Linked DNA regions of Neurospora crassa OR74A. The protein of the gene in region 3 interacts with the protein of the main gene of each other region in a pairwise test. Links are inferred from orthologs where the notes say so. Each region holds a gene or a part of one and is shown on either strand. Other genes may lie near its edges. The genes, in order: NCU01257, NCU02640 and NCU03066.

Region 1 (3,752 bases), on a different chromosome or scaffold from region 3:
TTCTTTCTTCTATTTGCTTGTAGCTTCAGGAAAGGCGGGTCTATGTCTGGCGTTGGTGGTTATGGGTCTTCCCAGGTCTATTTGGGTCTGAATCTGGGTTTGGGTTTAGGCTCGTCTCGATGAATAGCAGCAAGCAGGCGTTACGATGGTGTTGCGCATCAAACCCCTTACCATGCGGGTTCGAGGAGTGAAAGGGGGATGTCTCGTGTATTAGTGTATCTGAAGTACCTAGTCTTAAAGTAGCGATGGCCCTTGCGCGGCTCGTCCGTGACAGGATGATACTCTCACAAACTGTAGTGACCGAGATTTGTTTTTGTTCACGAGCCGACATCGGGGGCCTTTGAATGAAGGTGAAAGTAAGGAACCCGTTTGTTCGGGTGAACGGATATAGCCATTCTGCAAGATGAATGATATGAGAAAAGGACCTTTGAGCCAAGCGGGTAACACCATCAAACTGTAAGGCATGAAAAGAACTCTTTAGGTATCTAAGTAAAGGTAGTGGCTACTGAATTGATCTGAATCCTTCAATGATGTTTGTTGTATGACCGGTCCCATGATGATGTATACTCATACACGCTACTACCACCTTTGTCACCAACCTGCCGTGCTGACCTTTTGTTGTACTAGGTTGGAAACTAAACAGATTACCCATCATGGCATCGACACCGCTCTTCACTTCCACTGCTTCTTCTCGCTCCTGCCACAGTGAAGCTTACTCACTTCACCTCTTTCCAGCCCCCGCCTTTCTCCTAGCCTTACCAGGCCTAGGCGCAGGCTTGAACTTCTTGGGCTTGCCGCCTGCTGGGCCGCCCGATTTCATCTTCCTCGCACTGAACCCGCTCACGTCGCCCGACGAGAGGGCGTCGTTGGATTTGGCGTACTTCTTCTTGCCGCCGAAGCCAAACTTGGCATCCTTCCGTTGCCTCTTGGCGTTGGGCCCGCCGCCCTCCTTGCCGTCGCGGCCGCGCTTTTTGCTGTTGTTGCCGCCAGGGCCGCCCTTGAGCTCGTTGTCGACGGCAACGTCAAAGAGGTCTTCGGCTTCGTTGGCGCCGGTGGGGCCACCGCCGTCCTTGCGCTCTATTTAAGGAGGCGGAGGTTAGTTGGCTTCAGTTATCATCAAGTTGGGGAGGGGAAGGAAGAGGAAGAGAACTTGTTATGGAATTAAGAAGGGAAGGGGAAGGAGAAGGGTAGGAGAGGCACGTACTCTTCTTGAGAAGATTGATCTTTTCGAGTGTGTCACGCTTCTGCTTGGCACGCTCCTGTTGCTTGGCCACCTGCACCTGCTTGCCGAACTTCTTGAGGTCGCGCTGCTTGCGCGCCTCGGCCGAGGCCTTCTTGGCCGTGGCCTCCTCGATAAGCTTGGCCTTGACCTTCTCCATAGTCTCGTCGCTGCGCAGCGTCTCGGCAAAGTAGTCGGTAGGGCGGGTGAAGGGGACACCCTCCTTGCGGAGGAGGGCGCGGCCGACGCGGGCGGCCTCGAGCGCCTGGTTCATGAAGGCCAGCTCGCGGGCCAGGTCGTCGTCGATCGAGGGGATGGACTCCTCCGTCACCTTCTTGGCAACGATGGACTGGTGGAAGGCGAATGGGACTTTGTCGGTTGTGTCGAGGGCGAAGCGCTTGAGCGCCGTCAGGAGACCTTGCTTGTTGTTTATTGTCTGGCGCGCCCTCGAAATGGCCTTGACTTCCTCTCCTTCTTCTCCGTCGACGTCGAGCTCATCAATGTCGATCTCATCCTCGTCCTCCTCCTCGTCGCTCGATTCCTCGGCGGCCTTCTGGTACTTGTTTGCCTGGATGCCGGCGGCGGATTGCTTCTCGTTCAGGTCGCGCTCGAATTCTGAGTCGGAATCGGATTCGTCAAGTGCATCAAGATCGAGATCGTTGTCCTCTTCGTCGTCACTACCCTCCTCAGAATCTGAACCGGCCTCTTCCTGTTGCTCTGGTTTCTCGTCGGCCTTGGTCTGAGTGGTGGTTTCTTCCGCCTTCTGCTCCTCCTCGACATCCATCTTGTCCTCTACAGGGGTTTCTTCGACGACCTGCTTGGGCTTTCTGCCACGCTTCTTCTGCTCCTTCTGGGGCTTCTCTTCAACAATCTTCTCGATCTTCTCAGCCTCAAGAGCCTTGGTGGCCGGCTTTTTTGTGCGGGTGGACTGTCGCGGCATTGTGATTATGTGGGGTTGCTGTACAATCGATTTGGATGATGAGCTCGAGAAGCGGCAGCGCTTGCAGTTCTGGAAACTTTTTTTTGACATGGCGGCTGCCATTACCCGATAAGATAAGCCTGGTGGGTCGGAGGCGGACCCAAATGTGGATGCTTGGCGCCCGGCATAGAGGTATCCACAGCCCAGCTCCTGGAAGTGCCCTTCACACTCTCTCTGAATCTGGCACATCAAACCCCAACCCTCAGGTTACGAGTTACAATGGGCCTGTAGTCACGGTGATGGTCACCCACCGAACTGCGTTTTCTCGGTGATCTCAAGATTGATTGCTAGTGTATATCACCATGCCCTGTGTATCTCTGCCCAGTTTCTCGTAAGCTACCCGCAGCCTGTGTCAAGGTGATTCAACACGAGTCTCCTGATACATCAAACTTCGCGTTCAGTGGAGGAGCCTTGTCCCGCGCAAACATCACGAACCTAACCTGGCCGAAACAGATCAGAAATATGTCTGGGACGTCGAGCTGATACATGTAATGGGATGTAGTATATTTTCTCGGAGCCGAGGCCATTCCTCCGCGTATCTTGCCTTGATGATCGATCAAGCGTTCCATTTGCAAGTTGACAGCTTTATCACTAAAGTCAGTTGCTCTGAAAAGTCTTACGAAGAGGCATACGATGATAATGAAATTCACAATCATAGAGGTAGTCACGGTCATGAGAGCATCCAAAGATATGGTGTCAACCGGGGTTTTTTTTTTATTAAAAGAACTAACACTCTTCAAATCCTTCAACCAAGCCAACTCACCCCCACAATCCCTCCCCTCCGCAAACCAAGATCAGAAAGATACAGTGAAAACTCCCCACATGGTCCTCCCCCTCCACAAATTTCATCCCGCGAGTCCCCCCTCCCTGCCAAGACAGAAAGGAAGACTTCCCTCCTCTACAGTCCTATCCAAGAAAATTCCAAGAAAGTGCGCAAAGAAAAAGGAGTGGTGAACCAAGCGCCATACCCAAGCCCGTGCAAGTCCCACCCAACAAAAGAGAGAAGCATGTCGCGAAATAGCTCCCTCCCAGCAGATGGAAGAGGTTGAGGTTGGAAGGTGTGAGTCCGCCGACTCCCAGGTGACGTTTGCCGAAGAGTGTGAACCAAAGAGAAGTTGCTGCATCGTTTCCCGCCGGCGATGTCCTCAGTCCGCAAAGGGTGTTTGGTGTCGAATCAACGACAAAAGAGAGAAAGGGTCCAGAAAGATAAGGTGAGTTGCCTGAGTGTCGAAAATTGAAGAGGGAAAGCTCCGTGTGGACGAAAAGTAGTCCCGTGTGAAGTTATCCCCAACAAAAAGAAGCGAAAGTCGTTTATGTGAAAGGATGGTGTGTGTGATGTGTGCGGATGTATATCCCCGGTTGACAAAGGTTTTTTCCATTCCCATCAAGGAAAGATCCTCACCGCTCCGGATGTTGTCAGTGGGTGCTCCCATTGTGCAGAGTCCACCATGAAGCAGAGACAAGAAGCTTCCTAGGCGAGGTTGCTGTTGTGGCGGAACGAGAGGTGGGCTTTTCAATCATGATAGAGGGAAAAGCAGATTGCTGGTCTGACGT
Region 2 (3,120 bases), about 1.4 Mb from region 3:
GGAGCGAAGACGGCAATTCGGTGATGGAGCGAGTGATTTGGTGTCGCTGACGATGTGGAGAGTGGGATCCTCCTTTGAGCCCTTCGACTCCATTCGGGGCGTTCGGAAACATGACGGCACTCGAGCGGCTTTCCTTTTCTTTATCGCGCTTTATCTGGTGATTCCGAGACATACCAAAGTGTAATGATGCGTAATAACGCCAGATTAGAGTACCTCTACGGGTAGGCAAAAAGTGGAGGTGTAAGCCAGGATGTACCTAAAGTCGACGGGGCCACTGACGTTGCGACGACTCACAGAGGTGCATCGCGGCGGGGACGCGGCGCAGGGGACCAATGGCACTCACTGCCCGGTGACGGGAAGCCGGCTGCCTTAACGATCCTTTCGCGGAACCTATCCAACCTGTGCAGGGGTTGCTTCACTGGACATGTGAACTGAAGCAAAATAACCACAACCAAAGTTTGTCACGAGAAGAGAATCACCTGGAAGATGGGTTTCAAGTGGCTGCAAAGCCACCAAGAATGGTAATGGTAAGCTTTTTGTTATGTTCCGTGTAAGAATTGCTTGGGGTATCAGAATATTGCTGTGGTCCCTTATCACCCGCAGTACCTAGTCATTGATGTACGCCTTTCTTTTTGGCGTTGTTTTTCCGGGTTGTTTCTCATCCATCCGCCCTGTCCGCTGAGTTCTTCCTGACAAACCACGGCCTTCCGTGGCTGCTGCGAACTTCCAACTCCAATTATGCCATGCCATTATAGACACTCATTCAAAATAAAGTAACGCCGCTACCATCATATTTGCCGAGGAAGACGCCGCGCTGCGAAGGGGGTTTGGCTTTCGTCTTTCGGGCATTGGTAGAACGGCGAGGCCGGTGATTCGGTTCGGTACCCATCGTTGGACGGAAAGGAGTGAGACGTGGTGTTCCGCATGTCCTGAGTGCCGTTCACAGCCTCCTCGTTCAAGAGTTGATAAGCTTGTTGCGCTTCTCCTTGCGCTTGAGCCTCTCCACCCTCTTCTTGTGCATCTTCTCGGCCATCTTCTCGTAACGTTCCTTCTCCTCCTTCTTTGCCCGCTTCTCCTTGAGGGCTTCGATGCGTCTCTGTGTGGAAATGATGGATCAGCCCCTGGCATCTTGTCTCCCGGATTCGTATTTGCACCAACCTTGCGCTCAGCCTCCTTCTCATCCTTAAGCTCCTTCTCCTTAGCCTTGACAGCCGCAAGCAACTGCCTCTCCTTTGCGCGTTTCTCATACGATGTCAACCCGGAGCCGGGACGGAAGGCCTTTTTGGGGGCGTGCCATTGCTTTCCTGTAGGATAATGGCAATTAGTACTTCATTCGACCTAGGATGGCAGAACGTAACGGACAAAGACTTACCATTGACCCTCATGCCAAGGGGCTTGGAAACCGCCTTGGTCTCCACCTGAGACGTTGTTTGTGTTGTTGTGGTAGTAGAGGACATTGTTGCGAATCGTTAAAGTCGACCAGCAATCCGTGCATTAGCTGGGTTTGATGCAGAGCGTTGTGACGGCGATGCCAGACGCAGAACTACCAAAGGCGGTCAGTGAATGCGGTCGCACTCGAGCAGAAAAATTTGGACGGCAGAATTGGTTATCGGGCCTGTCGTTGCAACGTTATCGCTGAGCGGGTCGTAGTATGGAGAACAGGCGTTAAAACTGCGGGGCGGACCCTCGTCACCCTTGCTTCCGGCATCGATGTGCCTGGTCTCATGTTGATGGTGACTGACGTTGGATCCCAGGGTCTGCCCCGCAGTGATAAGATAAAGTGACTCAGTCGACTGTTTGACGCTGTGGGAGACACTAATAAAAAGCCTCGAGTTGCCGCCCGATATCGCCTTTGTCTTTCTTACAAGATCAAGTTCAGGAACTGTAACTGTCGAGAGTAGCCATCCTCCGCAAGCACCAATCCGCCAAAATGTCTGAGTCCAAGGGCCGCGTCTGTCTGTAAGTAACACCCAGAGCAGTGTTGAATAACGTCTGGTGATTCCACTTGTGGCACAGGCTATTCTGGAGCTTTGACGCCTGACTGACAGTCCCTCCCGTTCATAGCGCCTATTCCGGAGGTACGATCCTGGAGCTATACAACACAAGAGATCCGCCTGCCACGAATGCAATTGCTCACCAATTGATCACCGTATACAGGTCTTGATACTTCCGTGAGTCCTCCTGAAGCTTCCCTCTGATCTTATAGAGCGCATTGACTGACATCTGTGACTGCAGACCATCCTCTGCTGGTTGATTGAGCAGGTAGAGAAAACCAACCAACCCCCGCGCTCCCCTCCCGAGCTGTAATATTAACCCGAGTGACTCGACAGGGCTACACCGTCGTCTGCTTCCTCGCCAATGTCGGCCAGGAGGAGAACTGGGATGAGGTCCGCGCCAAGGCCAAGAAGCTCGGTGCTGAGGAGATGGTGATCCTCGACCTCCAGCAGGAGTTCGTTGACCAGATCGTCTTCCGTGCCATCCAGTGCAATGCCATCTATGAGGACCGCTACCTCCTCGGCACCTCCCTCGCCCGCCCCATCATTGCCCGTGCCCAGGTCCGCGTTGCCGAGCAATACAACTGCGAGTTCGTCTCCCACGGCTGCACTGGCAAGGGCAACGACCAGGTCCGCTTCGAGCTTGCCTTCAAGTATGCTGATTCCCTCCTCTTGAGCCTCATCCGACGCACAAACACTGACGTGACACCAGGGCCTGCAACCCCGAGATCAAGGTCATTGCTCCCTGGAGACTTCCCGAGTTCTGTGCTCGCTTCCAGGGTCGTCAGGATCTCCTGAAGTACGCCGCCGACAAGAACATCCCCGTCTCCTCGACCCCCAAGGCCCCTTGGTCCATGGATGACAACCTTGTCCACTGCAGCTACGAGGCTGGCATTCTTGAGGACCCCAACCACACTCCCCCCAAGGAGCTCTGGACCCGCACTGTTGACCCCCAGGACGCCCCCAACACTCCCCAGGAGTTCACCATCGTCTTTGAGAAGGGTATCCCCGTCAAGGTCATTGTCGATGGCAAGGAGACCACTGGCTCTGTTGAGCTCTTCAAGCTCCTCAACAAGATTGGTCACGACCACGGTGTTGGCCGTGTCGATATCGTTGAGAACCGCTT
Region 3 (3,661 bases):
AGAACAGCGATTGAAGGGTGCGATAACTTGGGAAACAATCGGTCTCTTCCGTCTTTCTCTACGCTAAATGGGGGATACCTACGGAAGAGTTTCTGAAGATACTCCCTCATGTGAAGCGTGATAAGCGTGGTTTCTGGGTGATATGTTACCTCCCCACCACAACCCCCTTTCTTGATGCGTATTCGATGCTAGCATGCTATTTTGCTTCAGGACTTTGTCTACGTAGGCCAAGATGACCCAATGTCCGGAGTGTCTGCTCTGCCGATAATCATTGCATAGTGCAATGCCATTGTCAGCTTAAGCGACGATCAATTATGCGAGCGGGGCACGGTGTTCTGTTGAATCCATGATGATCCAAAAACTCAAAAAAAGCGTACAGCGTCCATGTGTGGTATAAACAAGTGCTTGACGACAGAACTGATGGCATCCAGAACTGCACCTTGACGGACGGTTCGATGGATTTGAGGATCGTCATGGCAGACAAGTGTTTGATTGTTGAGACGGACCGACCTAAAGTCCTCTTTCTGGAAAGGCAATGCAAACCACTTGCGTAAAGAGTCGGTAGCAATAATTCTTCATATACATATAGAGAACAAGCGCAACCACACCATAAGTGTATCAATATAATTTACATTCCACGTTTGGCTAAACACAAATCAAACATACAATACGACTGTAAATTACAGGCACGCGCATCTCCACATTCGAAGCGGGGACTTCTGGAATCTTGGTGGAGTTCAACACGGCGGATCCCTGCTTTATCAGAGCTTATCTAGGCGGTCAGCAGTGGCACAAACCGTTCCTCCACTCTAATTTTTTGACGACCATCAATCAGTACAGCCGCCCATAGTAGCGACCGGATTTTGCTGCTTTACCTTGCTGTCCCATCCTCAATTATCCTCCTGTACCTCCTTTTTTGACATTAGGAGCAGCATATCTTCAAAATGGCCGGATCGATAACAAAGCCCAAAAGTCAGTCAATCTTTCGCTGAGAACAACATATTCTTCCAATCAACACATTGACTGACGTTACTTAAAAACAGAGCCGAAATCGAAGCGTACACCCGTACGCCTCAGGCACAAGATCCAGAAGGCCTCGGCCGCGAAGCAACGCAAGGACAGAAAGCTCGCCAAGAAGAACCCAGAATGGCGCTCCAAGCTCAAGAAGGACCCGGGTATCCCGAACCTTTTCCCCTACAAGGAGAAGCTGTTGAACCAGATCGAGGAGGACCGCATTCGGAGAAAGGAACAGGAGCAGAAGCGTCGTGAGATGGCCAAGGCGGCCAAGACTGGCCAGGACACCAAGACGGGCGCCGAGGGCGATGTCGAGGCGTTCGATGACGATCTGATGGACGACGACGATGCTATGGAGGAGGATGGTAGCGACGTTGACGATGAGTCGAACCCCCTCGCTGCCCTGGTGGCCAGCGCCAGGAAAGCTGCCGAGCAGTACGACCGCGAGCTCCAGAGCGGCGACGAGATGGACGATGACGACGAGTCCGACGACGAGACCGATGGCGAACCCACACAGTCCGGCGTTATTGAGGTTCCCGGCGGCGCCTCCTCGCGCAAGGCTTTCGACAAGGTCTTCAAGCAGGTTGTTGAGCAGGCTGATGTCATTCTTTACGTCCTCGACGCCCGTGATCCCGAAGGCACCCGCTCGAGGGACGTCGAGCGCGCCGTCATGGCCGCCGCCCACGGTGGTAAGCGCCTGATCCTCATCCTCAACAAGGTCGATCTGATCCCTCCCCCGGTCCTCCGCGGCTGGCTCACCCACCTGCGCCGCTACTTCCCCACGCTGCCGCTGCGTGCCTCCAACCCTGCCCCCAACGCCCACACCTTCCAGCACCGCGACATTACCGTCCAAAGCACCAGCGCGGCTCTCTTCCGTGCGCTCAAGTCGTACGCCGTCTCGCGCAACCTCAAGCGCTCCATCCAGGTTGGCGTAATCGGCTACCCTAACGTCGGCAAGTCGTCCGTCATCAACGCCCTCCTGTCCCGCCTCAGCAACAGCCGCGGCCAGCACAACGCCTGCCCGGCCGGCGCCGAGGCCGGCGTCACCACCTCGATCCGCCAGGTCAAGATCGACAGCAAGCTGACGCTGCTCGACTCGCCCGGTATCGTGTTCCCTTCCACTGCCGGCAACTCGACCTTCACCCCCAAGAACCAGACCGAGGCGCACGCCCACCTGGTGCTCCTTAATGCCATCCCGCCCAAGCAGATCGAGGACCCGGTCCCCGCCGTGACGCTGCTGCTCAAGCGCCTGTCGGCCACCCCCGAGTTGATGGACAAGATGATGAAGGTGTACGACCTTCCCCCCTTGCTGCGCGACCCCAACAACGGCGACCCCACCATGGACTTCCTTGTCCAGGTTGCCCGCAAGCGCGGCAGGCTGGGCAGGGGCGGTATCCCCAATATCCAAGCCGCTGCCATGACTGTCGTGACCGACTGGCGCGACGGTCGTATCCAGGGCTGGATCGATGCTCCCGTCTTGGCTGTGGCTGGTACCGCCACTGCTCCTGCTCCTGCTGGCGGCAAGTCTGCTACCGCTGATGAGCCCCTAGCGGATCAGAAGGTGATCGTGACCGAGTGGGCCAAGGAGTTCAAGCTGGATGGTCTTTGGGGAGATGAGGAGGAGACGGCGACTCCGGATGTTGAGATGCAGTAGAGCGATTTATTCCCCCTATCTTTGTCTGTTGGCAGTTGTTGTTGAGCATTTCACTTTTTGGTTTCTTTTTTGTTTTCGGTTGCGTCGGTGGTCAATGTCGTAATGAGTATTTTGTTGTTTTGCATGTCAGAAACACAATACAACGAACCCCGGAGCTGGACACATCTTTGTGAAGAGGCGTTTTGGCGTCAAGGTGGGAAAGAGCAAAAAGGGAGACAGGCAGGCCGGCTGGTAGAAAATAGGTCAAATATAGCCTGATCATAAACACCTCTATGACAAAGGCTTTTGAAGTGAAGCTTTAAATTCTTTCTGACATTCCCTGCATCGTTCATCATACCGAGCTGTGTTTTCAATGGCCTATTATCGAATTCGAAAGCAACGACATTCCGAAAATGACTTCATGAACGTTTGGATAGCCGAAAGTAAAAAAACAATGTATTGCTCTACAAAAGTCCATCAAGGGTATTCTTAACCTGTACCCCTTCTCAAATACTGAAGCATCCATCTTCAACAAATCTAATAAGTACTAACAAGCTCCATCTTCACCCCCCTCTTCCCCGTCGTCTCATCCTTCTGATCCGTCACCCTCACCCTGACCTTCTGGAACAACTCCACCTTAACCTCCCTGCTTCCCGATGTGGTCAGCGTGTACGTCTCGGCATCATACGTCGCCGCCGGCTCCGGCTCCGCCAGGTCACGCAGACGGATCAAGCTCTCGATACCGAACTTCGGCACGAGCACAACAAAGCCATTGCTAAAGATCTTCATGACGAAGCCGTCCTCCTCCGTAGCCTTGCCGCGCAGGGCCTGGCCGACATAATAAGCAATGCTGGCACGGCCGGCCAACTGGGCATTGCGGTGGCGCACGTTGATGTTCTTGCACACGGCCTCAAGGCGGCCACGGGAGCGGACGGCCGGGTGGACGGCCTCGTACTCAATCGCGGCGGCGAGCTGCCGATGGGCAACTAAATCGGCGTAGCGGCGGATGGGCGA

Evidence for each region.
Region 1: the proteins of NCU03066 (region 3) and NCU01257 interact in binary tests that used the Saccharomyces cerevisiae proteins (3 or more experiments, as listed by UniProt). The link is inferred for Neurospora crassa OR74A from reciprocal best matches to the Saccharomyces cerevisiae genes NUG1 and EBP2.
Region 2: the proteins of NCU03066 (region 3) and NCU02640 interact in binary tests that used the Saccharomyces cerevisiae proteins (3 or more experiments, as listed by UniProt). The link is inferred for Neurospora crassa OR74A from reciprocal best matches to the Saccharomyces cerevisiae genes NUG1 and CGR1.

What each region holds. Positions count from the first base shown.
Region 1 is NC_026505.1:3,393,383-3,397,134, forward strand, and holds NCU01257 (hypothetical protein), read right to left. Parts: upstream 2,216-3,752; 5' UTR 2,160-2,215; coding exon 1,205-2,159; intron 1,078-1,204; coding exon 722-1,077; 3' UTR 438-721; downstream 1-437. UniProt on the Saccharomyces cerevisiae protein: Required for the processing of the 27S pre-rRNA. Probably involved in the step of the processing of the 27 SA precursor into the 27 SB intermediate.
Region 2 is NC_026501.1:3,022,656-3,025,775, reverse strand, and holds NCU02640 (hypothetical protein), read right to left. Parts: upstream 1,492-3,120; 5' UTR 1,458-1,491; coding exon 1,373-1,457; intron 1,305-1,372; coding exon 1,159-1,304; intron 1,097-1,158; coding exon 956-1,096; 3' UTR 521-955; downstream 1-520. Other genes in the region: NCU02641 (hypothetical protein), read right to left, coding at 1-172; arg-1 (argininosuccinate synthase), read left to right, coding at 1,931-1,959, 2,065-2,078, 2,158-2,171, 2,236-2,262, 2,331-2,647, 2,707-3,120. UniProt on the Saccharomyces cerevisiae protein: Involved in nucleolar integrity and required for processing of the pre-rRNA for the 60S ribosome subunit.
Region 3 is NC_026501.1:4,413,903-4,417,563, reverse strand, and holds NCU03066 (GTP-binding protein), read left to right. Parts: upstream 1-839; 5' UTR 840-944; coding exon 945-972; intron 973-1,043; coding exon 1,044-2,668; 3' UTR 2,669-3,009; downstream 3,010-3,661. Other genes in the region: NCU03065 (mitotic control protein dis3), read right to left, coding at 3,185-3,661. UniProt on the Saccharomyces cerevisiae protein: GTPase required for 60S ribosomal subunit export to the cytoplasm.